Daphnia pulex: one gene and its partners. The protein of the gene in region 7 purifies or fractionates together with the protein of the main gene of each other region. This does not show direct contact. Links are inferred from orthologs where the notes say so. Each region holds a gene or a part of one and is shown on either strand. Other genes may lie near its edges. The genes, in order: splicing factor 3A subunit 1-like, pre-mRNA-processing factor 19-like, splicing factor U2AF 50 kDa subunit-like, splicing factor 3A subunit 3-like, splicing factor 3B subunit 3-like, splicing factor 3B subunit 6-like and small nuclear ribonucleoprotein Sm D1-like.

Region 1 (4,278 bases), on a different chromosome or scaffold from region 7:
TGAAGGCGCATTCAATTCTGTCCTGTCATTCAATAACTGAACAGAACAGAACTAAAAAATCTAACTAGACCATGGCTTCCGAAAGATATAGTTTCTCCCTAACAACTTTCAGGTTTTCTATCATTTACTTTCTAAGTTTTGACTAAATATAACATTTATTTTCATTGTTTAGTCCTTCTGGAAAACTGGTACAAATCGAGTATGCTTTGGCCGCAGTAGCTGCCGGTGCTGCATCAGTCGGCATTAAAGGTATATTGAAATTTCAGCATGTAAAAGATTGTAACAATGTAAATAATGTTATGTTATAGCTGCCAATGGTGTCGTTCTGGCCACTGAGAAGAAGCATCGGTCAATCTTATATGAAGAACACAGTGTTCACAAGATTGAAATGATTACCCCCAAGATCGGTATGGTCTACAGTGGAATGGGTCCTGATTATCGCCTCTTGGTTCGTCAAGCAAGGAAAATGGCTCAACAATATTGGGTAACTTATCAAGAACAGATACCAACTGCCCAGCTTGTCCAGCGTGTTGCTACCCTCATGCAAGAGTACACACAGTCTGGGTAAATATTTGGTTTTGTCACAAAAAAATAGTTCTTAAATAGTATAGATGAACATTTCAATGAATTTTTGTAATGCAGAGGTGTCAGGCCATTTGGTGTTTCACTCTTGATGTGTGGCTGGGATGAAGGACGTCCATATCTGTTTCAGTGTGATCCATCAGGAGCCTACTTTGCCTGGAAAGCCACTGCCATGGGAAAGAATTACATCAATGGCAAAACTTTCCTCGAGAAAAGATACAATGAAGACCTCGAGCTCGACGATGCTGTCCACACTGCGATTCTTACTCTCAAAGAGGGTTTTGAAGGAGGCATGACAGAAGATAATGTTGAAATTGGTATTTGTAACGAGCAGGGTTTCCGCCGATTATCTCCCGCTGAGGTTAAGGATTACTTGGCGAACATTGCCTAAACGGCTCGAAAATTCTTTGATTTCAAACAAGTGTCGAAAAATAAATCTGATGGTTGCTTAATGAATTTTCTCTTGGATTTTAAAAACAAAATTCCTTTTCTTTGTTCATTGCTAAACAATCATTTTCCTACTATCTTCACTCAAATTGCCTGTTAGAAATCTTAAAATCTATCAGATAAAAGATCTAAAAGATCCAGTCATAATTCCTCAATCAGTTCAAAGTGGTTGTATTTTTTATACTTGATCATTGTTGTTTAACGTTCAAGTTTATTCTAAATTCTTACTACATACTTTCTTCATTTCTTGTATCGATTCAAACGAGCAAACAGATGAATGAACCGAATGAACTATGAATTTGGATATGATTTTGTTTTGGTACTTGACATATATTAGTGAATTCCGTATAATTCAACAGTATAGTTCAAGGGATTCTTTTTCTGAATTGAACTAATAGCAGATAAGAGTTTAACAATTTTTTCTAGGTGGAAAAAAGTGGGAAGAAGTCGGAATCGGAATTCGGAAGAAGTGGGCGCCACACTGAAATTAAACAGTCTGACAACATTGTAGCGGATAGACAGCAACGTTTTGTTGCGTTCTGCTGTTAAAGCCGGAACAGAAAAACGCTATTTAACTCACATTTTAGAAATAGAATCAGTTTTTAATTTTGACGTGAGAATCTGACAATTTCATACATCAGAATAGAGTTTGATAGTCAGCATGCCACCTGCTGTGGAAACATTGCCAGTTTCTGGTGAAGTAAATATGCCCGAGAATGCTTCTACCAAGCCTACTGTCGGCATCATTTACCCACCTCCTGAAGTCAGAAGTAAGTTTGTTGTCAACTTACAAGTTCGTGAATAATTCATAACAATTTTCTTCTTAGATATTGTGGACAAGACAGCCAGCTTTGTAGCCAGAAATGGGTTGGAGTTTGAAGCACGGATTAGGAAAAATGAGCAGAATAACCCAAAATTCAACTTTCTTAATACTGGAGATCCTTATCATGCATACTACCAGTACAAAGTTAAGGATATCAGAGAAGGAAAGCTTGCAGAAGGTGCACCTGCAGCAGCACCTGTCCCAGGCCCACCGGGAAAACCACCACCATCAGCCCCTACATCAGCACCAGCTTCGTTGGCACAGCAGCAGAAACAGCAAGAAATTTTGAAACAATTCCAGCAAGAAGCCCCTGTAATCCCAAAAGAGCCACCTCCAGAGTTTGAATTCATTGTTGATCCTCCATCGATTTCAGCCATGGAATTGTGAGTTTTTTAAATAACTATTTAAATATTATGAAGCTAAAACTTAACAACACTTGTGTCTTATTTCAGAGACATTGTGAAACTCACTGCCCAATTTGTAGCTAGGAATGGTCGCCAGTTCCTCACAAGTCTGATGAATCGTGAGGCCAGAAATTATCAGTTTGACTTTCTGCGTCCTCAGCACTCGCTTTTTCAATATTTCACTCGTCTCCTAGAACAGTACACCAAAGTATTTTGATTGGTAGATTATTTTGTTTGAATGAAAGTCTAAATGATTTTGTTATTCTTTAGGTTCTTATCCCACCGAAAGACTTGATGACCCGTTTGAACGAGGGTTGCACTAATACTAGCGTTGTCTTACAAGAAGTCAAACGACGAGCCGACTGGCAACGTCATCAAGAGGCTCAGAAACGCCGAGAAGAAGAAGAAGCTGAAAGGGAACGCGTGTCATATGCGCAAATTGATTGGCACGACTTTGTAGTCGTCGAATCAGTTGACTATCAACCATTCGAAATTGGTAATTTCCCTCCTCCCACAACCCCAGAGGAGGTCGGTGCCCGTATTCTTCTCCAGGAGCGCTACGAAGAAGGACAAGATGTTGAGATGCAGCTGGAGAGTGAAGAGGAAGACGATGATGAAGAAGACGATTCAGACACGGAACAGACAAAGCCACCACCACCACCAGGCGCACCGCCCTCTCAAGCCATCAAGGGAGATGGACTACAGCCTCCTCCAGTGGCTCCTTCTGCCGAAAACGTCATCGTGCGTAAAGACTACAATCCCAAAGCTGTGGCAAAACCACAAGCCCGTCCGCCTGCTCCAGACGAGTACCTCATCTCACCCATCACTGGAGAGCGAATTCCGGCTAGCCAAGTGGCTGAGCACATGCGTATCGGTTTGCTGGATCCGCGTTGGTTGGAGCAGCGCGATCGACAAATGCAAGAAAAGATGACTCAAGAGTCTGTGTACGCGCCCGGATCAGCCATCGAAAACAGCTTGCGAGCATTGGCTGAACGTCGTACAGATATTTTCGGTGTCGGTGACGAAGAGACAGCCATCGGTAAAAAGATTGGTGAAGAAGAGCGTCGCAAAGACGAGACCAAATGGGAAGGACAACAACCGCCTGCCCCGCCACCATCAGGTGGAGAGGGAGGATCAACGTTCCAACCCCGACCTGGTCCACCTGCTGGCCTGGTTACCATACAAGAGCAGATTGCGCAGATCCACAAGAACAAGGCGCTCATGACTGGCATGAGCGAGGAAGAAGATGGGCTAGGATCTAATGGCGTTGTAGCAGCAGCGCCACCTAAACCTCCACAACAATTAATGAGCATTCCACCAAGACCACCGGTCATGATGTCTGCTCCGCAGCCGCCACCCATGATGATGATGTCCATCCCTCAGCCGCCAATGCCAATGCCCATGGTCCCCCAGAATTCTTTCATGACGCAGATGCCTCAGTCTATGGGCATGATGCAGCAACAGCAGCAGGGTCAGGGTGGTCGAGATGTCATGGAGGAGGAGCCTCCTTCTAAACGACAGCGCAACGAGGATCAACTTATGCCTGAGGAAGCCTTTTTGGTCAGATATCCCGGTCTGCTCCACTTCCATATTGGTGCACCAGTTTACGCCGAAAAACCCGAGTGGAGATTGCAGGGCCAGCAGCTCAGCTTTTCCTTGTTGCCCACGGAACCAATCTCCGTTGTTAAGCAGAAGATTAGTGAAGCGACAGGAATGCCGCCGGCCAAGCAAAAGCTCTTTTGGGAGGGGCTCTACTTCAAGGACAATCATTCTCTGGCATTTTACAATGTTACCCCCGATGCTGTTGTCCAGCTTCAGGTGAAGGAACGAGGCGGTCGTAAGAAGTAAAAAACAATTCTGGAAAATCCTAAACCATCAAAAAACCTCATTTACATCAGTACGGACCTTGGGGGATAATTACGTAATCGGAAAGCATTTTACAACCATTTTGTCTCTCCCTCTGCTACACTGTCATCGATTCCTTCCTGGTCTCAGAAATGGAAATATATTCAACTTTTCTCA
Region 2 (4,104 bases), on a different chromosome or scaffold from region 7:
GTAATTCGCGGAAACTCTTTCACATGAGCAGTAGAAGTAAACGTGGATAGGAACTTAGCCATTTGCTTACCTATAGGAATAAAATAACCACACTATTAAAGTTAGCAAAGTTATCAAAAAAGGAATCCATCGAATCTTCGGAATATAACCACTTACACTTGCGTCATACGTTATGTAAGGACGTTCATAGTTTATTTACGCTGTTTTAATTAACTTTAATACCCACTAATTGAGGAAAGTGACTCACCTCGAGATTTTTTCTTTTCTTGGTCGTACATGATAACGACTTCAGAGACCTTTCCGTACTGCGAGAAGAAGTTACGAAGATCTGTTTCTGTCAAGTTTGATGGAAGCCCACCTAAAAATACTTTGTAACCATTTCCTGTACCCATACTCCGGCGAGGAGCGCGTACCATTTCGGCACGTGGATTACAAGGTTTGGGGTCAATCTGCATAAACATAAAAATATGAGATCATAAAAAACAACCAAAAATGTAGAAAGAAATCAAATATATATCTCAAGTTGAGATATAAACTTCAATTCCTTCCACTTCTATGTAGCAATACCGCGAAAGGAGATAAAATTATGTTAAACATTCTATCACCGCTCAGGTAGTGCAAATAAGAGTATGAAGAAAATATAAAAACTTACTGTGCGATTATCGAGTATATGGGGTGTGTTTTGTAGTACTAAACCAACATTGTTAGGATCAGCAAATGTAATGAACCCAAACCCTCTCGATCTACCAGTTTCTGGGTTCTTCATTACCACACAGTCAACAACTTCACCATACTGACTGAAATATCGAAGCAAATTATCGCGCGTCGTTTCCCAGCTTAAACCTCCGATGAACATTTTACTAAAAAAACAAGATTCGTACCAAAAAATAGTAAATGGACGCAAATCATGAAAAGCTTAGTGTACGGCGTCATGGATTTACATTCTCCCATGAACTTCACATGTCATATTATAAATGGAAAAAATTTCTTACCCTTGTTCATTCGAATTATCACCACCTTCTTTTCCAGGGAATTTTTGTTGAGAGGCCATTGTTCAGTTTAAATTGAATATAACAGTAAACGAATCTTTCAAATTTTCGAGGAGTGTTCGCACTGCGCTTGGGTTGGCTTCTTCAGTTGAGAAATGGGGGAAATGGCTGGCCCGGCATTTCAGTCAGTTTGCACCGTTGCCTGGACACTTTTTCTAGTTGAAAACTTGAAACTTAAATTATGAAATTATTACTTATAAAAAACTATGCTGTTTCTTTTACACATTCCAATAAAAAAATTTCTGAGTCTTAAAAAAATGATTGGATTTTGAAAAGAAAAGAAAACTCGCACTGAGGAATGAAGCGCTTTATTGAATAGTGTAGTCTAGCAACTGTTTAGCCCTAAGCGAAGCGAACATATGCATCTTGGCTTGTCGCACATTTTTGTGAAAAGTATATAAAAAAAGGTTACACGCTTCATCATGGCCCTCTGTTGTTCTCGTAATATTACATTTTCATTATAAATATCAATTTAAAACCAATCCATTCTTCTGAGAAATTTGATATTTAATGTCTTATATCTCTTGCTTATATAGTGTCGAACGAAGTTCCCGAACATCCTGTGGTCTCACCGGTGTCAGGATCTGTGTTTGAACGTCGGCTGATTGAAAAGTACATTGCTGATAACGGGGTAGATCCCATCAATGGGAAAGAAATAACTGTAGATCAACTTATTGAAATCAAAAGTAAGAAATTTTTTATCAAAGTTCCACAATGAATTTACATGTAATTGAAATTTTGTTTCTAGCCCCCCCAATTGTTAAGCCTAAAGTGCCATCTGCAACAAGCATTCCCGCCGTGCTTAAGTCTTTACAAGATGAATGGGATGCTGTCATGTTAAATTCCTTTACTTTGAGGCAACAATTACAAACTGCTCGACAAGAATTGAGGTATTGACCAACTTAATTACACATGGAATTATTGTGCAAACATTCTCTTTCTATTTGTAGTCATGCTCTCTACCAACATGATGCTGCTTGTCGTGTTATTGCACGCCTCCACAAGGAAGTGTCTACAGCACGGGAAGCACTTGCAACTCTTAAGCCCCAGACTGGCTATGCTGCTGTATCTACACCATCTGTTGCTGCCTCAGTAAGAAAGCATTATGATATTTATTTGTATGTTATTTATGATAAATTTACTGATTTGATGTAAGGCTGAAGCGGGTGGTGTGGCAGCACAACCGATCGAGGCAGCTGGATTAACTCCGGAAATCATATCACAATTACAAGATAAAGCCACTGTTCTTACTCAAGAACGAAAACGTAGAGGCAAAACCATGCCCGAAGGCTTAGCTACAGCAGAAGCTTTGAAGGGATATAAAACTTTGGCATCTCATCCGGTAATGACATATAATTTTGAAATGTTATCCCATCTTCATGGATTGATTACATATAGGCTTTGCACAGTGCAAGTATGCCCGGAATTTTGACCATGGACGTTCACGCCGCCGATACTTCTCATATTTTGACTGGAGGTAACGATCGATGCGCTACAGTTTTTAACAAGGACACTGAGCAGGTTGTTGCTGTTCTCAAGGGACATACAAAAAAAGTTACCAAGGTGCTTTATCATCCAGAAGAGGTAATTTCATGTTTTCTTTTAATTTTCTCTTGATTTACTTTGTTATATGATACTAATATACCCCTTGAATCTGTTATAGGAAGTCGCGATAACAGCATCTCCTGATGCGACGATTCGTGTTTGGAATATAACCGGCTCCTCACAATCTGCCATCATCCGTGCTCATGATGGCCCTGTCACAGGCTTGTCGCTCCACGCAACCGGAGAATATGTTTTGTCGACGTCACTGGATCAACACTGGGCATTTTCAGACATTCGCGTTGGGCGGTTGTTGACAAAGGTTGCCGACACAGACGGAAATCCGCTTACGACAGCCCAGTTCCATCCAGATGGTCTCATTTTCGGCACTGGAACACAAGATTCACAGATCAAAATTTGGGATTTAAAAGAACAATCTAACGTGGCCAACTTTCCAGGTTTGGCTCTTTTAAAATAATCTTGTGATAAACATTAGCTTTACTATTACCATTTTTACAATTACAGGTCATTCCGGTCCTATTGCGGCTTTGTCATTTTCAGAAAATGGTTACTATTTGGCTACAGCGGCAGAAGACTCTTGCGTCAAATTGTGGGATTTACGGAAATTGAAGAATTTTAAAACAATTCAGCTCGACGAAGGATACGAAGTTAAGGACTTGTGCTTCGATCAAAGCGGCACCTACCTTGCTGTGGCTGGTACCGACGTGCGTGTTTATCTCTGCAAGCAATGGGAAACTCTTAAGACTTTTAACGACCATACAGCATTGGCTATGGGAGTCCGTTTCGGCAACCATGCGCAGTCGATAGCGTCTGTGAGTATGGATCGTACGCTGAAAATTTATGGCATCGAGTGATTCACTGTATTCAATGTTGAGAGGGGATTTTTAAATGAACATTTTTCGTCTTATCCTTTTTTTTGCTGTAAGGTGTGCAAACCGCATCGAACTCTCGCCCTCACAAAAATACACGCGTTTCATTTTTCCCATCAAAAACAATTCTACGAGTGTATATCGATAGTTAAGTTTCCCGCGTTACTATCGATACATTAAATAAAACAAAAAGCTTCGAAATTTTGTCACTAGTGGCGTGGCAGTTCGCTTGGCATTTTCGCTTTCTTGAAGCATATCCCAATGGCGGCTTAGGCAATCGATGCATCGGCCGCTCCTTCGTACAGGGGTTTATGTATTTGGCCTAAAATGCCGGTCGACTCTTGTAAACAAGGAATAGTGAGATCATACTACGTTAATTTCAAATTTCATAGTTCAAATTCTTCATATTGGATTGCTATCCTGAATCAAGATTTTTCCAGATAAAGTACGAGGTAAGTCGCCCAAAAACAGTTCCTTCAACCGTCGCTTCTATCAAGTTGCATTGTTGCATCTTTTGTAATTGGAAGCGTGGTTTTGTTGAATGAATAAAATTTTCTGCCCTTCAAAAAATTTGTCTTCTTTAATTTGACGCATTTTTTTTTCTCCCTAAAGAGTTGACACAA
Region 3 (4,097 bases), on a different chromosome or scaffold from region 7:
GGTCTTCCCGAGTAACTGCAAGAGCCACGTCTAAAATGCGTCCATCTAACTGTAAATATGGATTTCGAGACTCTTCTAAACACTTTTGAGCCGATTCCGAATCCTAAAAATGGTTAATATGAAAAGTTATTAGTATGTATTTATTTTTGCAATAATGCAACTTACTCTAAATTTTACGAATCCAGTGCCCTTGGGTCTCTCCATAATTTTATCCATACACAACAATGCATAGTGAACACTGCCAAATTTTTCCATGAAATTTTTCAACGAGTCTTTTGTGGTTGAAAAGTCCAAATTTCTGATAAAAAGAGTCTTTCCTTCTGCTACATCACTCTTCTTTTCTATTTCAGAATTATCACCCTTCCAAGCTTCTTCTTTTTTTGGACTTTCTTCTTCACCGGAACCATTCTCAACTTCAGAATCAGAAGCTTCTCCATCTTGTTCTTCTTCATCATTATCTTCTTCTTCATCATTACTTTCTTCATCATCAGATTCTTCATCTTTTCTGTCATTTTTCTTCTCTGGCGGCTCAATGTTTGGAACTTCGTCAGTTTTATTATTTAAAGTGGCATACTGTTGTTTTGGTATGGCCCAATCAATAGCTATTTGCCTTCCTACAAAAAAAAAACAATTGATAAGCTATTATCAAATTTAAAATGTTAAAATTTTCTTACCAAGAAATGGTTTTGCATTGCATTCTTTGATTGCTGTAGCCGCACATGGAACTGTTTTAAATTGAACAAAACCACAGCCAACTAAAGTGCCACCAGGTTTCTTTAATAATTTCACATCCTCAATTTCTCCATATTTCTCAAACCAGTTTTTAACAGCTTCTTCTGTTGCCTGTTAATAAATTAAATCAAGTACTAACTTACTAACATACTAAAAGTAGCATAAATTAAAGTTTCTTGGCTTACTTTGAAAGATAAATTGCGAATAATTATTCTTCCTCTTTTATTGGGTGGTCTCTTCTTTGATGTGTTTGCTTTAGTAACAATAGAAGCTTCTTTTTTAACTGAAGAGTGATTCATCTTTTAAATCTATCCAAACACGTGCTTGTCTGTATAACTGATGTAGCTAGTCAAGCAGACGATTATATGTGTCAAAATGTAGCATAGACTGTTGTCAATTGGCAAAATGACAACTAATGAGGATTAACATGAATACAACAATTACTCAGAAAATAAATTTTATGTGGCTATTATTTTATGAAATATTTAATCTTACCTTTCAGTATATTAATCAAAACCAAGTTTGAAATTGTAAACATTAAATCGACGTTGCCGGTACAAGGAGTCAATCGAACCTCGTCTCCGACGCCATTCGCCCATTCCCAGCCTTTAATCAAACCGGCTTACAGTCTTAGTGAAAATTTGGACAATAATTAACTGTTTTCCTCTGCTGTGTTTCTTCTTATTGTCGTACAAAAGCTAACAATCACACGTTAATCATGGGAGAAGATAAAGATGATCGTAAAGGTATGTTTTAACTTCTCTAAACTACTTCTGTCAATATCAACTATAATGCTTTTGTAATGTTCTTAAGAGTCTGTGATGCTTAAGAAAGAAATGTTTAACACACATTACTTACAAGTAATGGGTGTTTAATGATCTGGTTGTATTTTACACATAATTTCATAACTTTTAATGGTTTATAATGTTGGCTCGTGGTTTTGCTTTTGTATGGAAATATTAGTCATAGTAGTTAGAAGGTAGTCAAGCAAGTAAACTTACTTGTTTGATTTATTAACATTTGAAATACTTTAGTTGACAGGGAGAGAGATCGTGACCGTTCCAGAGATAAGGAAAAGGACAAGGAAAGAGACAAGGATAGGGAAAGAGATAGAGACAGGGATCGTAGACGGTCCAGGTCTCGTGACAGAAAGAGAAGGTCTAAATCTAAGGAAAAGGAGAAGGAGAAGAAGCGTAGCAAGTCCCGTGAACGTGAACGCAAAAGGAGTCGTTCTCCTGTTAAAAAGCAACGCCGAAGAAAGCCGTCTATTTACTGGGATATTCCTCCTATTGGTTTCGAACACATCACACCCATGCAATACAAAGCAATGCAAGGTATAAATCCTTATTCAAGTTTCAATTTTAATGTGCTAATTATTATTTTCTTGAATCTACGTAGCTGCCGGACAAATTCCAGCTAACATAATGACGGAAGTAGCCCCACAAGTCCAAGTACCAGTAGTGGGTAACACAATCACTCGTCAAGCCAGGAGACTCTATGTTGGGAATATTCCTTTTGGAGTTTCTGATGTACGCGCAGCGGAGGAGGAAATGATGGATTTCTTCAATCAACAGATGCATTTGTCTGGTCTGTCTCAAGCTCCAGGTCATCCCATTTTAGCTTGTCAAATTAATCTGGATAAGAATTTTGCATTCTTGGAGGTTTGTTGGATTGTTTTCACGTGAAACCTAGTATTTTAGTGGAATATTTAAATAATTTTGCTCTTTTACTTTTCAGTTTCGGTCAATTGATGAAACTTCCCAGGCCATGGCTTTTGACGGTATTAACTTTAAAGGTCAAACTCTAAAAATCCGCAGACCCCATGATTATCATCCAACACCTGGTGGTGGCGGCGGAGGAGGAGGAGGTGGTGGTCCCGAAACAACGCCCGGCATGAGTTCTGGTGGTATAACTGAAAAGAGGGCTGGAGGTGGAGGTGGTGGAGGAGGAGGAGGCACAAGTAAGGACGACTTAAAGTGATTCTTTTATGGCAAATTTCTTTAATGTATTCATTGTTTTTTGCTCAGTGAGCACGATCGTCCCGGATACACCCCACAAATTGTTCATCGGTGGACTTCCAAATTACTTAAACGAAGAACAAGTAAGTTACCTGTTTCGTCGATGTGACTGTAAAATGTGTTTTCGATTGGGAGAAGAAAAAAGAGTGAGAGAAATGGGATTTGTGAGCGTCTAGTTGAAGCAAAATCGATTCTGATGAATGTCTTCTTCTTTCGTTCTCCCTAAACAGTGGTCACGTGATCCTTAAAACTTCCTACCCATTCCAACCACACAACCTCGATCCATCTCCCCACCGTCGATCCCTAGATTGTTATTTTTGAAGGTCGACTCTAGGCACGCACGCAAATTGTCTCATTCGAATTTAGGTAAAGGAATTGCTGATGTCTTTTGGACAACTTCGAGCCTTTAACTTAGTTAAAGATACGGCTACTGGCTTATCCAAGGGATACGCTTTCTGCGAGTATGCCGACGTCACCGTCACCGATCAAGTAAAGTAGACCATGATAATATTCCTTGAAAAACCATTACATCTAATTTTATTTTTCTTTCAGGCTATTTCCGGATTGAACGGTATGCAGTTGGGAGACAAAAAGATCATCATCCAGCGAGCCAGTGTTGGAGCCAAAAACGCCGCTGCTTACGCCCAGATGCCAGTCCAGATTCAAGTACCAGGATTCAATCTTGCTGCCGGTCCTGGCCAACCGACAGAGGTACAAAAATCAACCTTGTCTAATGCGACAATTTTTAATTTCATTTTGGTCTTTTCTTTTGCGTAGGTTCTATGTCTGCTGAACATGGTGACACCCGAGGAATTGAGGGACGACGAGGAATATGAGGAAATTGTGGACGATATTCGTGAGGAATGCAATCGTCATGGAGCCGTACGTTCAGTCGAAATTCCCAGGCCGTTGGAGGGTGTCGATGATGTACCGGGAGTTGGCAAGGTCTTCGTCGAGTTTATTTCGGTGAGCGACTGCGTTAAAGCCCAGCAGGCGCTGACAGGTCGCAAGTTCGCCAATCGTATCGTCGTTACGTCATTTTACGAACCGGAACGCTATCACCGACGGGACTTCTAAGCCATGACGGCTTCTGTCATCAGACAAAAAGTAATCCGCAAGATATGCCCCTTCTTTTTTTTTTTTTTTTTACTTTGATGAAACAAATAACGTCATGACGAACCGACGCTTGATGAGAATAAACGGCCTGATGCGTACGGGATTTCCCTTGATGAATTTGATTTTCTTTTTCTTCAGTTTTTTTTTGTCATTTCTAAATGGGTTTTTCGATATTTTGCATCAAGTTTGTGTTGTCCAACCTCTTTGTTTGGCGTGTCGGTGAAAAAACAA
Region 4 (4,143 bases), on a different chromosome or scaffold from region 7:
ATGTTGGATGATCTTGTTTGCTCTTGGGCTGTTTCAAGCTTTTTCTCTCCTCTGACTCTTGTTGGAAGAGTTGAAAGCCGGGCTTTTACTTCTTCTTCTTCTGCAGACTCACGCTCGCGCGAACAATACGCACGGAGAACCTGGAAAGAAAGAAAACAACAGGAAGAAATTAATGTCAGACAGACAGACTGGGGTTGTTGCTGGTGGTGTAGAAGAGATTCAATAGCATATGGTCAACAAAATCTAAAGTACACAGATGGTCAGCATGTGGGCACATAGCTAGAGTGATGGGATTCTATATGTATATGTGAGTTGTCGAAAGGCCAGAGTGACTTCCCAACACATCCTGTCCATTTGGCAGGGTGCCGTCACAGTTTAGCGAATGCATCAGGGTTGATCGAAAACCAAGACATTCCTTTTGAAATGTCAAGAGGAGAAAAAATAAATTACGGTTGAATGGAAAGAATACAAGGAAGGAATGGTGATGTCATGGCTGGCCCGTACATTATTTCCAAACCCAGAGAGATGAGCATTCATTCAGACACCTGTATTTCAACATGAGCCTTGAGTGTCATTGATAGGGAAAGGATGAAAATAAGGGAGGGGGGAATGCTTAGGGCAAACACTCGAGTCAAGAGGCCGAATCGTTTTTCGATTTTTCACGATTCCCAATGGCGAACACACCAAACACAACTCAAGAAACACACACACACACCACGCCTATTGTTTGAACGACGGCCACCTGATAAACAAACATCAAGTTCTTTTCGGTTTGGATGTGTGGATATACACTAAAAAATGTTAATCAGATTAAATGTAAAAGAATAAAACAGAAATAAGTACTGTTGCGTATACGTGAAAACCACTCTCTCGGGTGACAGCCACTTATAACGCACTGAATCGGCGGCGGCTCTCGACCGTTGTTGGCCCTCAGTATACCTCCCCTCTTCGCTCTTCTGCAATATGGCTACCAATAGCTTAGCTCAGCTTTTTTTTCTTTTTTCTTTTTATTTCGATTTTCAAAGACTTCGCTCCATCCCTCTGGCGACACTAGGAAACATTACCGTCCTGAGTCCTGACAGCAAAAAAATGCTCACATTTTCTTGGAATGCAATGAATGAAATTGGTTTTTAATGATTAGGAATAAATTAAAATTTTTAATTAAGCTAGAAAATTTATTAAGCTGTGTATATTGAGAAGGTAAATGAATCAAAATTTAATTTTAAGGGGTTTACACTTTACAGTCTTGTAAACATGAAATGAGTAACAAATCATCAAATTTAAATTTAGACAATATATTCTTTTATTTTAACGAATTGTACCATTTTAATAATTAAAAACATTATAATTAAAAAAGTGAAAATAGTTTTTGCAAAAAATCGATAGAATACTTTAGTTCTTACAACGGCCACCAGTTTGTTTTCCAAGCCCAAGCATTGTGATTTTTGCTCGTTTATTGCCGGCTTGTTTAAATTTTTTTATTTTATCATACAATTCAATTCATTAAAACCAATGGAGACTTTGCTAGAGCAGCAGAGGAGATATCATGAAGAAAAAGAGCGTATCATCGACTCCATGGTCAAGGAAACAATCTTCAAAAAGACCACTCAAAGGGAGATAATCAACTCGGAACACCGTCAGAAAATTTTGCTTGACGTATGTAAACTTTGGCTCATACAATTGAACAAACAACTCTTAATGTCGTATTTTGATAACTGTAGAGGTATATGGAGAGTACAAGAGTTTTGAAAGAGATCTATGAAGACAAGGACGGACAGCGCAAAGAGGAGGTGGCACTGCTCTCTGGACCAAATGAATTTGTGGAATTTTACAACAGACTAAAACAGATCAAGGAATTTTACAAAAAACATCCAAATGAGGTATAAAACACATTCATTTTCTTTAAGTGTCATTCAATAGCAGTTGGTTTTGTTTCACAGATTGCTGTACCAATGTCCATGGAATTTGATGAGTTTGCCAAACAGAGAGAGAGTGGAGCTGACGAAACAAATAGTAGGTTATATCTGACAGAAAGCACAGTCATATAAAGCTAATGTAATTTGATTTTCAGATTTGGTTGACTTTACCGATGAGGAGGGCTATGGCAAATATTTGGATCTTCATGAAAGCTATGTGAAATACACAAATTTAAAAGGAATTCAGGTCAGTTTATAGATTGAAACAAGAAACAAATCGAAAAAAATTAACACAGTTATATTTCTTACAGAAAATTGACTACATTAGCTACCTTAATATGTTTGACCGTCTCTTTGATATTCCCCGGGAGAAGAAGAACGCTGAATACAGAAACTATCTACAAGCATTGGTGGATTATTTAGTCGATTATGTTGCTCGAGTAAAACCAGTCATGGACCTTGACAACTTGTTTCATGAAATCGAACAAGATTTCGAAAAGGACTTTGTAGCGGGTACATTTCCTGGATGGCCGGTAAGTCTATTTACGACTGTTTCTATTTTCTGTCCAACCTAACTAACGCTGGCAAATTTATAGAAAGAAACAACCGGAAGTGCTTTGGCAAACGCAGGTGCGGCGTTGGATATTTCAGCCTTTTCATCTTGTGAGGAATTGGCATCTCTAGGACTGGATCGTTTGAAATCAGCATTGATAGCTTTGGGTCTCAAGTGCGGTGGAACACTCGAAGACCGTGCCAAAAGACTCTTCAGTACAAAAGGTCTGTCGGTAGATGAAATTGACAAATCTCTCTTCGCCAAAGGCCAGGGTAAAAATCGAGGTGCTACCGAACAAGATAAGGAAGCCGAAAAACAAAAGAAGATTGCCCTTCTGGAGGCTCAAGTTTATAAGTAATTCCATTTAAATTATTGAATGAAATTGAATGAATAATTAATTGTGAATAATTCATAGACTGATTGAGATCTTGTCTGAACCACGGCATGCTACCAAAGAGAACGTGGAACGTAAACAGGCCCGAACAGATGGGGAACGAGAGGAGGAAGAAGAAGACGTTGTCGAGGTATAACTTAATTACTTTGACATATTTCCTTAAACTTTAAATTCTCAACTGCCATTTTCAGGTCCCCGAGGATGAAGATGAAGACGATGACGTCCCTTACAATCCCAAGAATTTACCACTAGGTTGGGATGGAAAGGTATAAATGAACCAACATTAATAATTGTGTAACTTTGTTCTAATCTTATCGATTCATCTCTTATCCAGCCCATTCCATATTGGCTTTACAAATTGCACGGCTTGAACATCAGCTACAATTGCGAGATTTGCGGCAATTACACGTACAAAGGTCCAAAGGCGTTTCAACGTCATTTTGCCGAATGGCGTCACGCTCACGGCATGCGGTGTCTGGGTATTCCCAACACGGCCCACTTTGCTAACGTAACACGAATCGAAGATGCAATTTCACGTAAGCTTTCAGTTTATTTTTGTTTTTCCTGTCCCCTACCGATTAATAATAAAATTCTAATTGAAACTTCAGTTTGGACAAAATTGAGAAGCCAGAAAACGTCAGAACGTTTCGTCGCCGATCACGAGGAAGAGTACGAGGACTCGATGGGCAACGTCATCCCCAAGAAAACGTACGAAGATTTGCGTCGACAGGGTCTCTTGTAAAGAAACATGACTGGAAAAATAAATCTTATAACTTCGTGCGCGGTTATATTTTTATTCCATCACATTTGCACAGAGGAAGCGCAAGCTCCTTGGTTGTTGTCGAGTGTCACTGTAATATTGGTAATCTTAATCTATGTTTCGATTTATCACTTTGTTGTCAACTTGTATTACTGAATCATCTTCCCATCACAAAACTTTGCTCAGATGGAGTTTTTCGTCATTCGTCTCAATTCCCAGCTCATCGACATGTCGAGAAAAAGAATATGGATTAATGCTTATGTGTCACTGATTTCCGTCGATATCCTCATCGATCAGCTACTTTTAGTATACTTGCATTTTAACACACTTAAAGTATATACCACCTTACTATAGGTATGTAATCTTAATCATATTCGAATTTTAAACAGTCATCTTATAACAAATATTTAAAACCTCTGAGCAATCACGATATTGAAAAGGCACCCCAAGCTTTAATCACTTGCTTATAATTGAATTTGTCTTTAATTGATAACATCTGTATTTGAAATATCGAAATGGC
Region 5 (4,243 bases), on a different chromosome or scaffold from region 7:
CGCGTACATGGCTTATAGCGGTTGCAGCATGTTATATTACGGAACAAGGGGATTTCATACCGCGCCCAGCAGCGCCTTATCTCAACGCATTTATGACAGTGTAGAAAACTATAATCTCATGCTGTTCCCGACGACGACGAAAGTTGGCCCAAAACTACCGACTGCTGATATCGCGTATACAACAACAACAAGTCGACGATGTTAAATTCCAAACGTCGAAGAATTTCGCTGCGGCTATCTTTTGGAAGATGCTGCAATAAAGGCTGTTCCAAAGAATGCAAGGACAACATCAAATTCTTCGTTTTTTCTAGTTTCGTTTTTTTTCAAACCTCTAAACTTGTTCTTAATAGGAAACATCAAAAGTCAAGAGTTGATTTCCGACTGCAAGCCGTTCCACATTCCATCACTGGCGACAGAGGACGAGTTAATCGGTAAAGTTCGGGAACTCGATTGTTTCAGTCAATATGAATTGAATGACTCGAAATGAATTCAACGGTACATTATGAATTGAAAAAAAAAGATAAGTGCTTCAACACCCTTATTCGTTATTCCTTACCGCACCGCAAATAAAAATTTTTGAATAAGAAATTTTAAAAGATAGACAAGTTCGGGATGCTGAGTTGCACAACCGCAAAATTAGGATCGTGCGCCAACGAGTTTTTGTAACGTTGTGGGGATAGTAGAAAGCGGGTTTTTTATTATTTAAGCATAGAATTACTTATCTAATCTTAGAAATGTTCAGGATTATCGTTGTTTAGAACATTCTGCTTTTTATAGAGTAATTTTAAATGTATAATTCAGCTTAGTTTACCCATTAAAATTAAAGAAAGTCCAAGCCTGGGATGCTGTTTAGTCTTTTCTTGTGTTTTTTGACAGATCTGCTGACAAGTGACAAGCTCAAACACACAAGAAAAGACTAAACAGCATCCCAGGCTTGGACTTTCTTTAATTTGAATGGGTAAACTAAGCTGAATTATACATTTAAAATTACTCTATAAAAAGCAGAATGTTCTAAACAACGATAATCCTGAACATTTCTAAGATTAGATAAGTAATTCTATGCTTAAATAATAAAAAACCCGCTTTCTACTATCCCCACAACGTTACAAAAACTCGTTGGCGCACGATCCTAATTTTGCGGTTGTGCAACTCAGCATCCCGAACTTGTCTATTCAAAGCGTGGCTGCATGGTGGTTCTAGAGAGAAACTCGCGCGCATAGCAAGGGATCGGAATATGAACACGTCTTTTGAATTACTTTATGAGTAATAAAAACAGCTGTGAATAAATCATTCTTGATTATCACCACTGAAATTTTTTATTAATTTCACAATTTTATTGTATAATGCATTATGAAATCGTTCTATAAATAATAATAATAATTTAAAAAATCTTGTGATAAAGAAAGCGCAAATGCATTGAAAATGCTGTGTTTAGGGATAGACCAAGTAGAGAGTCGATGTCAGATGTTCAAAAATATTGCCTATCACACAATGCACGAGAAGTCGAACCCTAAACTCGAGCGCGACGCCGGAGCCAAGAGAGATTTCACTCAACCTTTGCTGAATTTTCCATCATGGAAAATCTGTAACATCCACAGGTAAATTCAAGTTTGACTACACATTTTAGTTCCAGATAGTTGAAAAGCAGTTATTTTGATGGTTAAATGTGTGTTTTTGGCGATGTTTAAAATATTGAAGCATGTCAATTTGAAAACCTTGCCGGGTGAGATGCCGGGGCTGTAGTTTCTTTCGCGTACTCGTCTAGCTATTAAAGAAAAGAAAACCCCTTACAACTTTACCGCCTTTCTGTGAATTAAGTTTGGTGGCTATACATGAGGGGGACATTAATTTTCAAATGGTGTGTAACATTGTCATTAAACATGTTGGACAAATGTAAGAATTATATCTGATAACATTTTCGCAGGTGATGCTCATCTAGGCAGTTCAAGTTACACATTGGACACGTCAACTTGAAAGAAAATGTATCTTTACAATCTGACTCTGCAGCGTGCCACTGGCATCATTCAGGCAGTCCAGGGCAACTTCAGTGGCACCAAGCAACAGGAGATTGTCATTGCTCGTGGAAAGGTACTCGAAATTGTGAAGCCGGATCCCAACACTGGCAAAGTACACACACTTCTCAGTCAAGAGGTTTTTGGAATCATCAGGTCAATCATTAGTTTCAGGCTTACTGGAGGAAATAAGGGTGAGTTGTGCAAATATAATTTTTAAAACATACATCCTGCTAACTTTCATTAATTCTGTATTTAGATTACCTTGTGGTCGGATCAGACTCTGGGCGAATTGTCATTCTTGAATACAATGCTGCCAAAAATGTGTTTGATAAGGTGCACCAAGAAACGTACGGCAAAAGCGGTTGTCGTCGGATTGTTCCTGGACAGTACATGGCAATTGATCCCAAAGGCAGAGCTGTTATGATCAGTAAGTTTTGATCCGTTTTTAATTTAAATTCTTGCAAGTGATGAGTTACGTTTTTATGTCTTCTTTCCCCATCTGAGAAAGATAATGCTGATATCTAACGTTTTTACTGAGAATTTTTTAAAATCGAAATCTTGTGGCTTGAGAGTGCGCATTGCTTTAACATTTATGTTTTTTTTTTGCATTGCAGGTGCTATTGAGAAGCAAAAACTGGTCTACATTCTGAACAGGGATGCCCAAGCCCATTTAACCATTTCTTCTCCGCTGGAGGCTCACAAGTCAAACACTCTAGTTTACAACATAGTGGGTGTTGACGTGGGATTTGAAAACCCTGTATTTGCTTGTTTGGAGATGGATTATGAAGAGGCCGATGGTGATCCAACAGGCGAGGCGGCACAGAAGACGCAACAAACGCTTACATTCTACGAACTCGATCTGGGTTTAAACCACGTCGTTAGGAAATATAGGTGCGTAACAAATCTTGGTGATTTTGGTTTTGCCTGGTTGGGTTTCAAAACCCCTTAACTTTACTGCTCTCTTGTCACTTAAAGATTGCAGCTATACATAAGGGGGACATTATCTATCATAGTGTGTAACATTGTTGACTTATGTGTGACAATGTAAGAAATATTTTGATGAACATATCTTTACTTTAATAGTGAGCCGTTGGATGAGCACGCCAATTTCCTCATCACTGTTCCTGGAGGAAACGACGGACCTTCCGGAGTTCTGGTTTGCTCCGAGAACTACATCACATATAAGAATTTGGGTGAACAGCATGACATTCGTTGCCCAATCCCCAGAAGAAGGGTACGTTTGATCATTTCATTATGTTATTTGGCGCGCGGTATCTCCAGCCGTGTTCTATACACGTGCTGGTCGACTAGTGCCTAAACTATACTTGGAGATGTTTGCATCGTTGGATTGTAATGCGCATATTGCATGCTGTCCTGGAACGAACCTCCGATAAGTTATTTATTCCATGTATTGAGGACGGTAGTAATAAGTTTTTTCTCTGTAGAATGACTTGGATGATCCGGAAAGGGGCATGATTTTCGTCTGCTCGGCTTCCCATCGCACCAAGGCCATGTTTTTCTTCCTTGTCCAAACGGAGCAGGGCGATATTTTCAAGATCACCATGGATATGGATGAAGAGGTGGTGAGAGAATTGAAAATCAAGTACTTTGATACCGTTCCAGTTTCGTCCAGCATGTGTGTGTTGAAGACAGGCTTTCTATTCGTCGCATCGGAATTTGGAAATCAGTTAGTTTTCTTAAATTTTTTTTTCTATTTGCTGAAATGATGTGTATTGTCATCCGTGTTTCACCTGAGATAACACTTTGATTATAATTTTTGACTCTGATTTCGGTTACAAAATTTGAAGTAGTTTTATGGGTTTTCAAGTGTATTAATTTTCCTTGTGTTATTAGTTATCTTTACCAGATTGCTCATTTGGGGGATGATGACGATGAACCCGAATTCAGCTCTACTATACCATTGGAGGAAGGAGATACTTTCTTCTTTGCTCCGAGACCTTTGAAGAATCTTGTTCTCGTGGACGAGATGGAGTCTTTATCTCCAGTTCTGGCCTGCCATATTGCTGATCTCGGTAGGTTTGATAATTCCTCCTGTTTTGAAAGGTTTTTAACATTTGTTTTCAATTTACAGCCAATGAGGATACACCCCAGTTGTATGCACTTTGTGGTAGAAGTTCTCGTTCGTCTCTTCGTGTTCTCCGTCATGGATTGGAAGTATCGGAGATGGCTGTTTCTGAACTTCCCGGTAACCCCAATGCAGTGTGGAC
Region 6 (2,469 bases), on a different chromosome or scaffold from region 7:
CTTAGTTTCGTCAGTTGGATTTTCCCAATAATAAACCTCGGGACGATGAATTTCTTCAATGTACAAGAGCCCACCGATAAGGGATTCCAGTTCGTCCGATTTATGTAGATTTAAATTAACAGCCTACAGACAACCGTATAACAAGATAAGAAAAAAGAAAAAGAAATCAAAGCTGCATAAAGTGTACAAACCCTTAAAAAGTCTTTTTCAAACTTGTATGCACCTCCACCTGTGGCACAAATGGTTGTGGACAGAGAGGCAAATCCTTTAGATTTTGCTAGCTGCAGAAATTGCTCCATTTCAGAGGTAGGAAATCTGATGAAATGTAATGTTCCTACTCTGTTTCCCATTGGAATTGAACTCATCTGAAATTTGAAAATTATACTGAAATCAATTTCTGATAAAATAGGAAAGATTAGAAGATGTAAACACCTGCAGATGAATGTCTCGGTGCCCTGTCTCTCCATAAGCATTGTTACTAGTGAGATACTTTTGAATGTTGTGTAAGGTTTCAATTTCTGACGAACTTACATTCTCTTCCTCAGGAGCAATGTCAGTTGGTTCAAAATACACTAATTTAACTAAAGTTCCACCTATATCCATTCCAAACCAGGGCATGCTAGCTGTAGAATAAAAATAATTGTTTATTATCACAACTAATTGATTAAAAATAACAATACTTACGAGAATGAACAACTGTGGAACTTGAATCATGGCCATTTGTTACCCTGTTTTCTACACTATCCATTGTGCGACCATATTGTGTTTCGTGATCAGAAGACATCTGTTAATGTGCAGAATTTCAATGTGCTTTCTTTAGTTATATCCCAGCAATTCTTTATTGTATGCACAGCACCGGATGAAGCTTAAAAATCCCTTTATTTAATTGATATCGGAAGTAGCGAATCAGTTCAGTTTACGCGACTCGAATAGTGGCCATCTGCATCATATCTTGATATTCGAACCAATAGAAAAAGGAATTCGGGTCGTACGATGTGGAAACTTTTCCCCTTTCCTTTTCTCTTATTTGAGTATGCTATTCCTCATTTGACACAAATTCGTCTGCTAAAACATCAGCATTGCCAAAATATTAAAATGTGAAGAGTAAATTGAGCTAGGAAAAGATTTTTATGAGATATATATACATTTTTTTAGTATTTAATTTGAATCAAATTTTCTAGTGCATAAAACCAATTAATTGAATTACACGAAAATAATGTTTTGTTTATTCTGTCAGCTCAGAATCGTCGTCTGCTATGCAGCCATTTTGAATACCAAGCGGCGTTCTTATTGTCAAGTTCACGAGCACAGTTTTGAATTGTATTGATCAGTGATTTCGTTGTTTTAACTGAATTTTACTCCTAACAATGGCGATGGCAATGCAGAAAAAGCTAAACGTATGCAATCATGTGTTAATTTTTTTTTATCATTAGTAGTTTATTATATTGAGTCAAGATTGTTGTGCATCAAGATTTCCATGTGAGCATTTCTTAAATATTTTTATTTTTCAGGTGAGGTTACCTCCTGAAGTAAACAGAATCCTATATGTCCGAAATCTTCCCTATAAAATTACATCAGAAGAAATGTATGATATCTTTGGAAAATACGGAGCTATTCGGCAAATCAGAGTGTAAGTAGAAATTGATAATATATGTTAGCATCAATTGTAACTCATTTGATTTGATAGAGGGAACACTCCAGAAACCAGAGGAACAGCTTTTGTGGTCTATGAAGACATTTTTGATGCAAAAAATGCTTGTGATCATCTTTCTGGTTTTAATGTCTGCAATCGTTACCTTGTAGTACTCTATTATCAACCTACAAAGGCCTTCAAAAAGGTTGACACAGACAAGAAGAAAGAAGAGATAGAAAGCATGAAGGCTAAATTTGGATTGAATGATGAATAACATGTAAATTGACCTCATTTCTCATTGTACAATTTGGTATAATAAAAAAACCATTTTCACTATGTGAATTGTAACCAGTATTGACCCTTTTCCAACCAGTGTAATTGTGAGGTATTCCATTGTAATGGAATATCAAATATGATTTGCACGAGTTATTACAACTCAAAAATGTTTTTTCTAAAAAGAATATTCACGAAATATCCGGCTTTCAAGAATAACAGATTTGTAGGCACAGTAAACAGACAAACAATTGCACTGCAGCTACTGAACACAAAATTATTTTCAAGCCAGTTTTACTGGGACTTCATGGAGACCAATTTTCGACTTCTGTGCTTTGATTCGCTCCGGTGAGATGTATATTCAAACCAGATAATGTTAGGGATTAATGTTTGATCTCTCACCAATAGCCATTCACACACTCTCCTAAGAAATAACAATGAATATTGCATGTTATCGGCATGGAAACACTTTTGAGGAAAACTAACCATGATGCAACAGTTGGGAACCACGGCGTTAGAGCGAATTGCGTAAATAAGAACCACGAAACTGCTAAAACAGATCC
Region 7 (2,983 bases):
GAAAAACGTTATCACCTGAACCATATTTTGAACCAAGGTTTGAAGCTATGAAATTACACTTTATTTAAAGGTACTTTTGATTCCCAATTTTGAACTTTGAATTTAATTCTTGGGACTTCTTAATTAAGGATTTCCGCTTTGCATTATCGAGTTGATTCAGTTTTAAATCTTCATCACGATCAAAAGGTTTTCTTTCTTTAGGACCGGACGAGTTGTCTTTCTATAGAAACAAAAATCTTACTTCAAATTACCCCAACTTTAACAGCAAAAATAAAAATGTAGGATTACCTTGCTTTTCATTTCCTTTTGATGTGTCTTCAACAAACTCTCTGACCTCTTCTTGGATTTATCATGCATGGCCACAATTTTCTCAAGCTTCTTATTCCTTTTTTGTTCCAAGTATTGTTTCCTCATTTCAGCTTCAAAATCCTCATCTTTTTCTTTGGATGTACTAGGCTGCTAAAATTATATTAATTAAATTATAGAAATTAGCAATGACCAGCTAAGAAAATTTCATTATATGTGTATCTATTGTACTATCTGAACCTTGGAAGTTGGTGTTGAAGTCCATTGATCTCTCCCTACAACCTCAGGTTTGTCAGAACGATTAAAGACACGAGGTCCCAGGCCAAAGTTTTTCCTTTTCAGTTCTGGAAGCTCAATCATCCAATCTTCTCTTTTTGGTTGCTTGTTGGCTTCATCATCATCCACACCAAGCAACTTCCTCTTCATCTTAAGAGCCCGCTGTTCAATGTCAACTGATGAACTATGTTCAGCATCCATACAATCAGCTGGCAGTGGTCCAATAACTTCATCATCTGATGAAGAGTCAACTTCATGATTAACAGAGCATCCTCTGTCATTGGAGATATTTGATTGCACTAACTTGCTGGACACTTTCTGTGATTTTAAATGAGCGGGAAGTGCTGGTCCGTAGAGATCACCTTCATCAGAATCTGAATCATCATTTTCATACGCTGTTTGAAGATGAGGAGGTAATGTTGGTCCGATTCGAGACATTTTGAGAGGGAAAAATTAAAACCACGCGGGAAATTGAGAATGCGTTACCGACAAAGAATTATTTTTAAAAAATCGAAAATAGGTGAAACCGAAACCCAATGTTTAGCTTACTGGAAATGCTGTTATAGTATGCAGGCCTGTCTCATGTGTTTTCTGTTTTGGAGTACGTTTTATTGTCACTCATGTCATGCCACTTGTGTTCTATGCGGTTCTATGATACGCTTCGATAATGCTTCTGGATTTATGAATTTATTTTGATAAATAAATTTAAAATAATAAAAAAAAATTATTATTAGTTAATTTTTGATTAAAATATGCAAAAATAAACCTTGTCTAATAACAAAATTCAAAATATTTGCGTAGATGGCGCTACGTTACAAGTACAAAAATCATAGTCATCGACCGTTATGAAATATGAAATGTCACAGGGCCTTTTTAGTATAAGTTATGCTTCCAACAAGCAGTTTTGGTTTTTGACTAGCGTACCTCGTGCGTTTCACTAAACTAAGGATTAAAACATTCAATAAGTCGTATATGGTGATTTACTTTATTACAGCCATCAAACAACAAGTTTATCAAAAATGAAATTAGTGAGGTAAGTTTCGGAATATGTTCATTGTCAAGTAAATTCGTACAGAAAGTAGCCACAAAAATCGGTTTGGTCTGGGTATTAAGCCGGTTGTTGGATGCGTCTGGGAAACTATGCCGTTTCTATATTTCACAACTTAAATAGTTCACTGCTTTCAATTGAAATAAATACCATTATTTTGTATAATCCTTAGGTTTTTGATGAAACTGAGCCACGAAACAGTCATTATTGAATTAAAAAATGGTACTCAGGTTCATGGAACAATAACAGGTAATTCAATTTTGTTGTCTTTATTCGATTTTTTATTTTACTGCAATCCTTAAATACTTTCTTCGAAAACTTAGTGAAATTGCAAACACATAAGTGACATTTTAGAAGAAAAGTTTTCCGTTTTGTATATTACTAAATTCATTCATTTGATTATGTTTTATAGGAGTTGATGTTGCTATGAACACTCATTTAAAAGCTGTGAAAATGACAGTTAAAAACAGAGACCCTGTTCAGCTTGAAACTTTGAGTATTAGAGGAAACAACATCCGGTACTACATTTTACCTGATTCACTTCCTCTTGAAACCTTACTATTGGATGATTCTCCGAAAGCCAAGGCCAAGAAGAAGGATGCTAGCGGTAGAGGTAAACTTTTTTCCCCTTATCACTGTGTTCCTCTTTTCATTTTCTTTTCTTTTTTTAGCTCGTGGAAGAGGCCGTGGACGCGGAGCTGTCAGAGGAGGACGTGGACGAGGACGTGGACGTGGTGCTACTGGTCCTCGACGCTGAAATTTGTAATTTCCAACGATTTTCCATTTTTTTTTTCGTTCTTTTCAGCAAATGTGGAATCAGTTTTCATTTGCATTACAAATTGTCATTGTCTTATATGTTTTTTGGTCAGTTGAAAAGTCCTTAAAACAAACACTTTTTTCCCCACAGTTGAGTCTGTATGAGAATTATTTATCAATTCCAATTGACTCCCATGTAAGCATAGATAATTTGTAGAGAACCGTCAATTCCTTTTCTTGATTTATAAGCGGACATCGCATAACGTTTCCTTGCTTATTTCAAGAATATTGACTATTCTTGCCATTTTGTCAGAGGAGTCGGGGAAAAAACAAGTGTAAAGAGCGGTGTAATAAGTAATGAAAGTTTGATGGAAATGAAAGTTAAATTACTTTTCTATTAAATTTAGACTAAAACTATTCAATTTTTTGTGACTAAACCATTAAACTTTAATTTAAATTAAGAATGTCGCAAATTTAAGGAAAACTTGACATGTTTAAGAACAGTCGTGGCTACAAGTTTTATTTGCTTTTGTAACTTCAGTTTAAGAGGTATTTGCGTTTAAGAGGCTTTCGGCGATATCTGCTCCTAATTTTCTA

Evidence for each region.
Region 1: the proteins of small nuclear ribonucleoprotein Sm D1-like (region 7) and splicing factor 3A subunit 1-like fractionate together in Homo sapiens (co-fractionation; 4 studies listed by BioGRID and IntAct, with this or other methods). This does not show direct contact. The link is inferred for Daphnia pulex from reciprocal best matches to the Homo sapiens genes SNRPD1 and SF3A1.
Region 2: the proteins of small nuclear ribonucleoprotein Sm D1-like (region 7) and pre-mRNA-processing factor 19-like fractionate together in Homo sapiens (co-fractionation; 3 studies listed by BioGRID). This does not show direct contact. The link is inferred for Daphnia pulex from reciprocal best matches to the Homo sapiens genes SNRPD1 and PRPF19.
Region 3: the proteins of small nuclear ribonucleoprotein Sm D1-like (region 7) and splicing factor U2AF 50 kDa subunit-like fractionate together in Homo sapiens (co-fractionation; 3 studies listed by BioGRID, with this or other methods). This does not show direct contact. The link is inferred for Daphnia pulex from reciprocal best matches to the Homo sapiens genes SNRPD1 and U2AF2.
Region 4: the proteins of small nuclear ribonucleoprotein Sm D1-like (region 7) and splicing factor 3A subunit 3-like fractionate together in Homo sapiens (co-fractionation; 3 studies listed by BioGRID and IntAct, with this or other methods). This does not show direct contact. The link is inferred for Daphnia pulex from reciprocal best matches to the Homo sapiens genes SNRPD1 and SF3A3.
Region 5: the proteins of small nuclear ribonucleoprotein Sm D1-like (region 7) and splicing factor 3B subunit 3-like fractionate together in Homo sapiens (co-fractionation; 4 studies listed by BioGRID and IntAct, with this or other methods). This does not show direct contact. The link is inferred for Daphnia pulex from reciprocal best matches to the Homo sapiens genes SNRPD1 and SF3B3.
Region 6: the proteins of small nuclear ribonucleoprotein Sm D1-like (region 7) and splicing factor 3B subunit 6-like fractionate together in Homo sapiens (co-fractionation; 3 studies listed by BioGRID and IntAct, with this or other methods). This does not show direct contact. The link is inferred for Daphnia pulex from reciprocal best matches to the Homo sapiens genes SNRPD1 and SF3B6.

Annotation. Positions count from the first base shown.
Region 1 is NC_060024.1:13,065,697-13,069,974, forward strand, and holds the start of splicing factor 3A subunit 1-like, read left to right. Parts: upstream 1-1,478; 5' UTR 1,479-1,690; coding exon 1,691-1,799; intron 1,800-1,856; coding exon 1,857-2,235; intron 2,236-2,304; coding exon 2,305-2,464; intron 2,465-2,526; coding exon 2,527-4,104; 3' UTR 4,105-4,278. Other genes in the region: proteasome subunit alpha type-2, read left to right, coding at 72-112, 173-249, 309-564, 643-973. UniProt on the Homo sapiens protein: Component of the 17S U2 SnRNP complex of the spliceosome, a large ribonucleoprotein complex that removes introns from transcribed pre-mRNAs.
Region 2 is NC_060022.1:3,394,092-3,398,195, forward strand, and holds pre-mRNA-processing factor 19-like, read left to right. Parts: upstream 1-1,358; 5' UTR 1,359-1,471; coding exon 1,472-1,490; intron 1,491-1,585; coding exon 1,586-1,735; intron 1,736-1,797; coding exon 1,798-1,939; intron 1,940-1,999; coding exon 2,000-2,141; intron 2,142-2,205; coding exon 2,206-2,391; intron 2,392-2,447; coding exon 2,448-2,633; intron 2,634-2,712; coding exon 2,713-3,049; intron 3,050-3,116; coding exon 3,117-3,466; 3' UTR 3,467-3,604; downstream 3,605-4,104. Other genes in the region: heterogeneous nuclear ribonucleoprotein 27C-like, read right to left, coding at 248-449, 653-860, 993-1,051. UniProt on the Homo sapiens protein: Ubiquitin-protein ligase which is a core component of several complexes mainly involved pre-mRNA splicing and DNA repair. Required for pre-mRNA splicing as component of the spliceosome.
Region 3 is NC_060018.1:5,213,018-5,217,114, reverse strand, and holds the start of splicing factor U2AF 50 kDa subunit-like, read left to right. Parts: upstream 1-1,297; 5' UTR 1,298-1,450; coding exon 1,451-1,478; intron 1,479-1,766; coding exon 1,767-2,066; intron 2,067-2,130; coding exon 2,131-2,393; intron 2,394-2,469; coding exon 2,470-2,692; intron 2,693-2,759; coding exon 2,760-2,833; intron 2,834-3,116; coding exon 3,117-3,239; intron 3,240-3,302; coding exon 3,303-3,461; intron 3,462-3,527; coding exon 3,528-3,827; 3' UTR 3,828-4,097. Other genes in the region: RNA-binding protein 28-like, read right to left, coding at 1-103, 166-614, 675-843, 918-1,031. UniProt on the Homo sapiens protein: Plays a role in pre-mRNA splicing and 3'-end processing. By recruiting PRPF19 and the PRP19C/Prp19 complex/NTC/Nineteen complex to the RNA polymerase II C-terminal domain (CTD), and thereby pre-mRNA, may couple transcription to splicing.
Region 4 is NC_060028.1:1,227,920-1,232,062, forward strand, and holds splicing factor 3A subunit 3-like, read left to right. Parts: upstream 1-1,399; 5' UTR 1,400-1,512; coding exon 1,513-1,656; intron 1,657-1,721; coding exon 1,722-1,880; intron 1,881-1,940; coding exon 1,941-2,013; intron 2,014-2,071; coding exon 2,072-2,163; intron 2,164-2,227; coding exon 2,228-2,449; intron 2,450-2,512; coding exon 2,513-2,823; intron 2,824-2,884; coding exon 2,885-2,993; intron 2,994-3,054; coding exon 3,055-3,129; intron 3,130-3,197; coding exon 3,198-3,399; intron 3,400-3,471; coding exon 3,472-3,605; 3' UTR 3,606-3,643; downstream 3,644-4,143. Other genes in the region: moesin/ezrin/radixin homolog 1-like, read right to left, coding at 1-140, 716-757. UniProt on the Homo sapiens protein: Component of the 17S U2 SnRNP complex of the spliceosome, a large ribonucleoprotein complex that removes introns from transcribed pre-mRNAs.
Region 5 is NC_060019.1:9,348,446-9,352,688, forward strand, and holds the start of splicing factor 3B subunit 3-like, read left to right. Parts: upstream 1-1,443; 5' UTR 1,444-1,598; intron 1,599-1,924; 5' UTR 1,925-1,980; coding exon 1,981-2,206; intron 2,207-2,271; coding exon 2,272-2,442; intron 2,443-2,629; coding exon 2,630-2,906; intron 2,907-3,098; coding exon 3,099-3,249; intron 3,250-3,460; coding exon 3,461-3,702; intron 3,703-3,869; coding exon 3,870-4,048; intron 4,049-4,107; coding exon 4,108-4,243. UniProt on the Homo sapiens protein: Component of the 17S U2 SnRNP complex of the spliceosome, a large ribonucleoprotein complex that removes introns from transcribed pre-mRNAs.
Region 6 is NC_060019.1:12,853,526-12,855,994, reverse strand, and holds splicing factor 3B subunit 6-like, read left to right. Parts: upstream 1-1,237; 5' UTR 1,238-1,367; coding exon 1,368-1,397; intron 1,398-1,511; coding exon 1,512-1,630; intron 1,631-1,687; coding exon 1,688-1,907; 3' UTR 1,908-1,969; downstream 1,970-2,469. Other genes in the region: pantothenate kinase 3-like, read right to left, coding at 1-123, 192-365, 433-623, 685-784; dolichyldiphosphatase 1-like, read right to left, coding at 2,201-2,330, 2,393-2,469.
Region 7 is NC_060020.1:8,496,612-8,499,594, reverse strand, and holds small nuclear ribonucleoprotein Sm D1-like, read left to right. Parts: upstream 1-1,452; 5' UTR 1,453-1,601; coding exon 1,602-1,615; intron 1,616-1,802; coding exon 1,803-1,879; intron 1,880-2,042; coding exon 2,043-2,243; intron 2,244-2,301; coding exon 2,302-2,387; 3' UTR 2,388-2,483; downstream 2,484-2,983. Other genes in the region: GPALPP motifs-containing protein 1-like, read right to left, coding at 65-220, 289-459, 547-1,020. UniProt on the Homo sapiens protein: Plays a role in pre-mRNA splicing as a core component of the spliceosomal U1, U2, U4 and U5 small nuclear ribonucleoproteins (snRNPs), the building blocks of the spliceosome.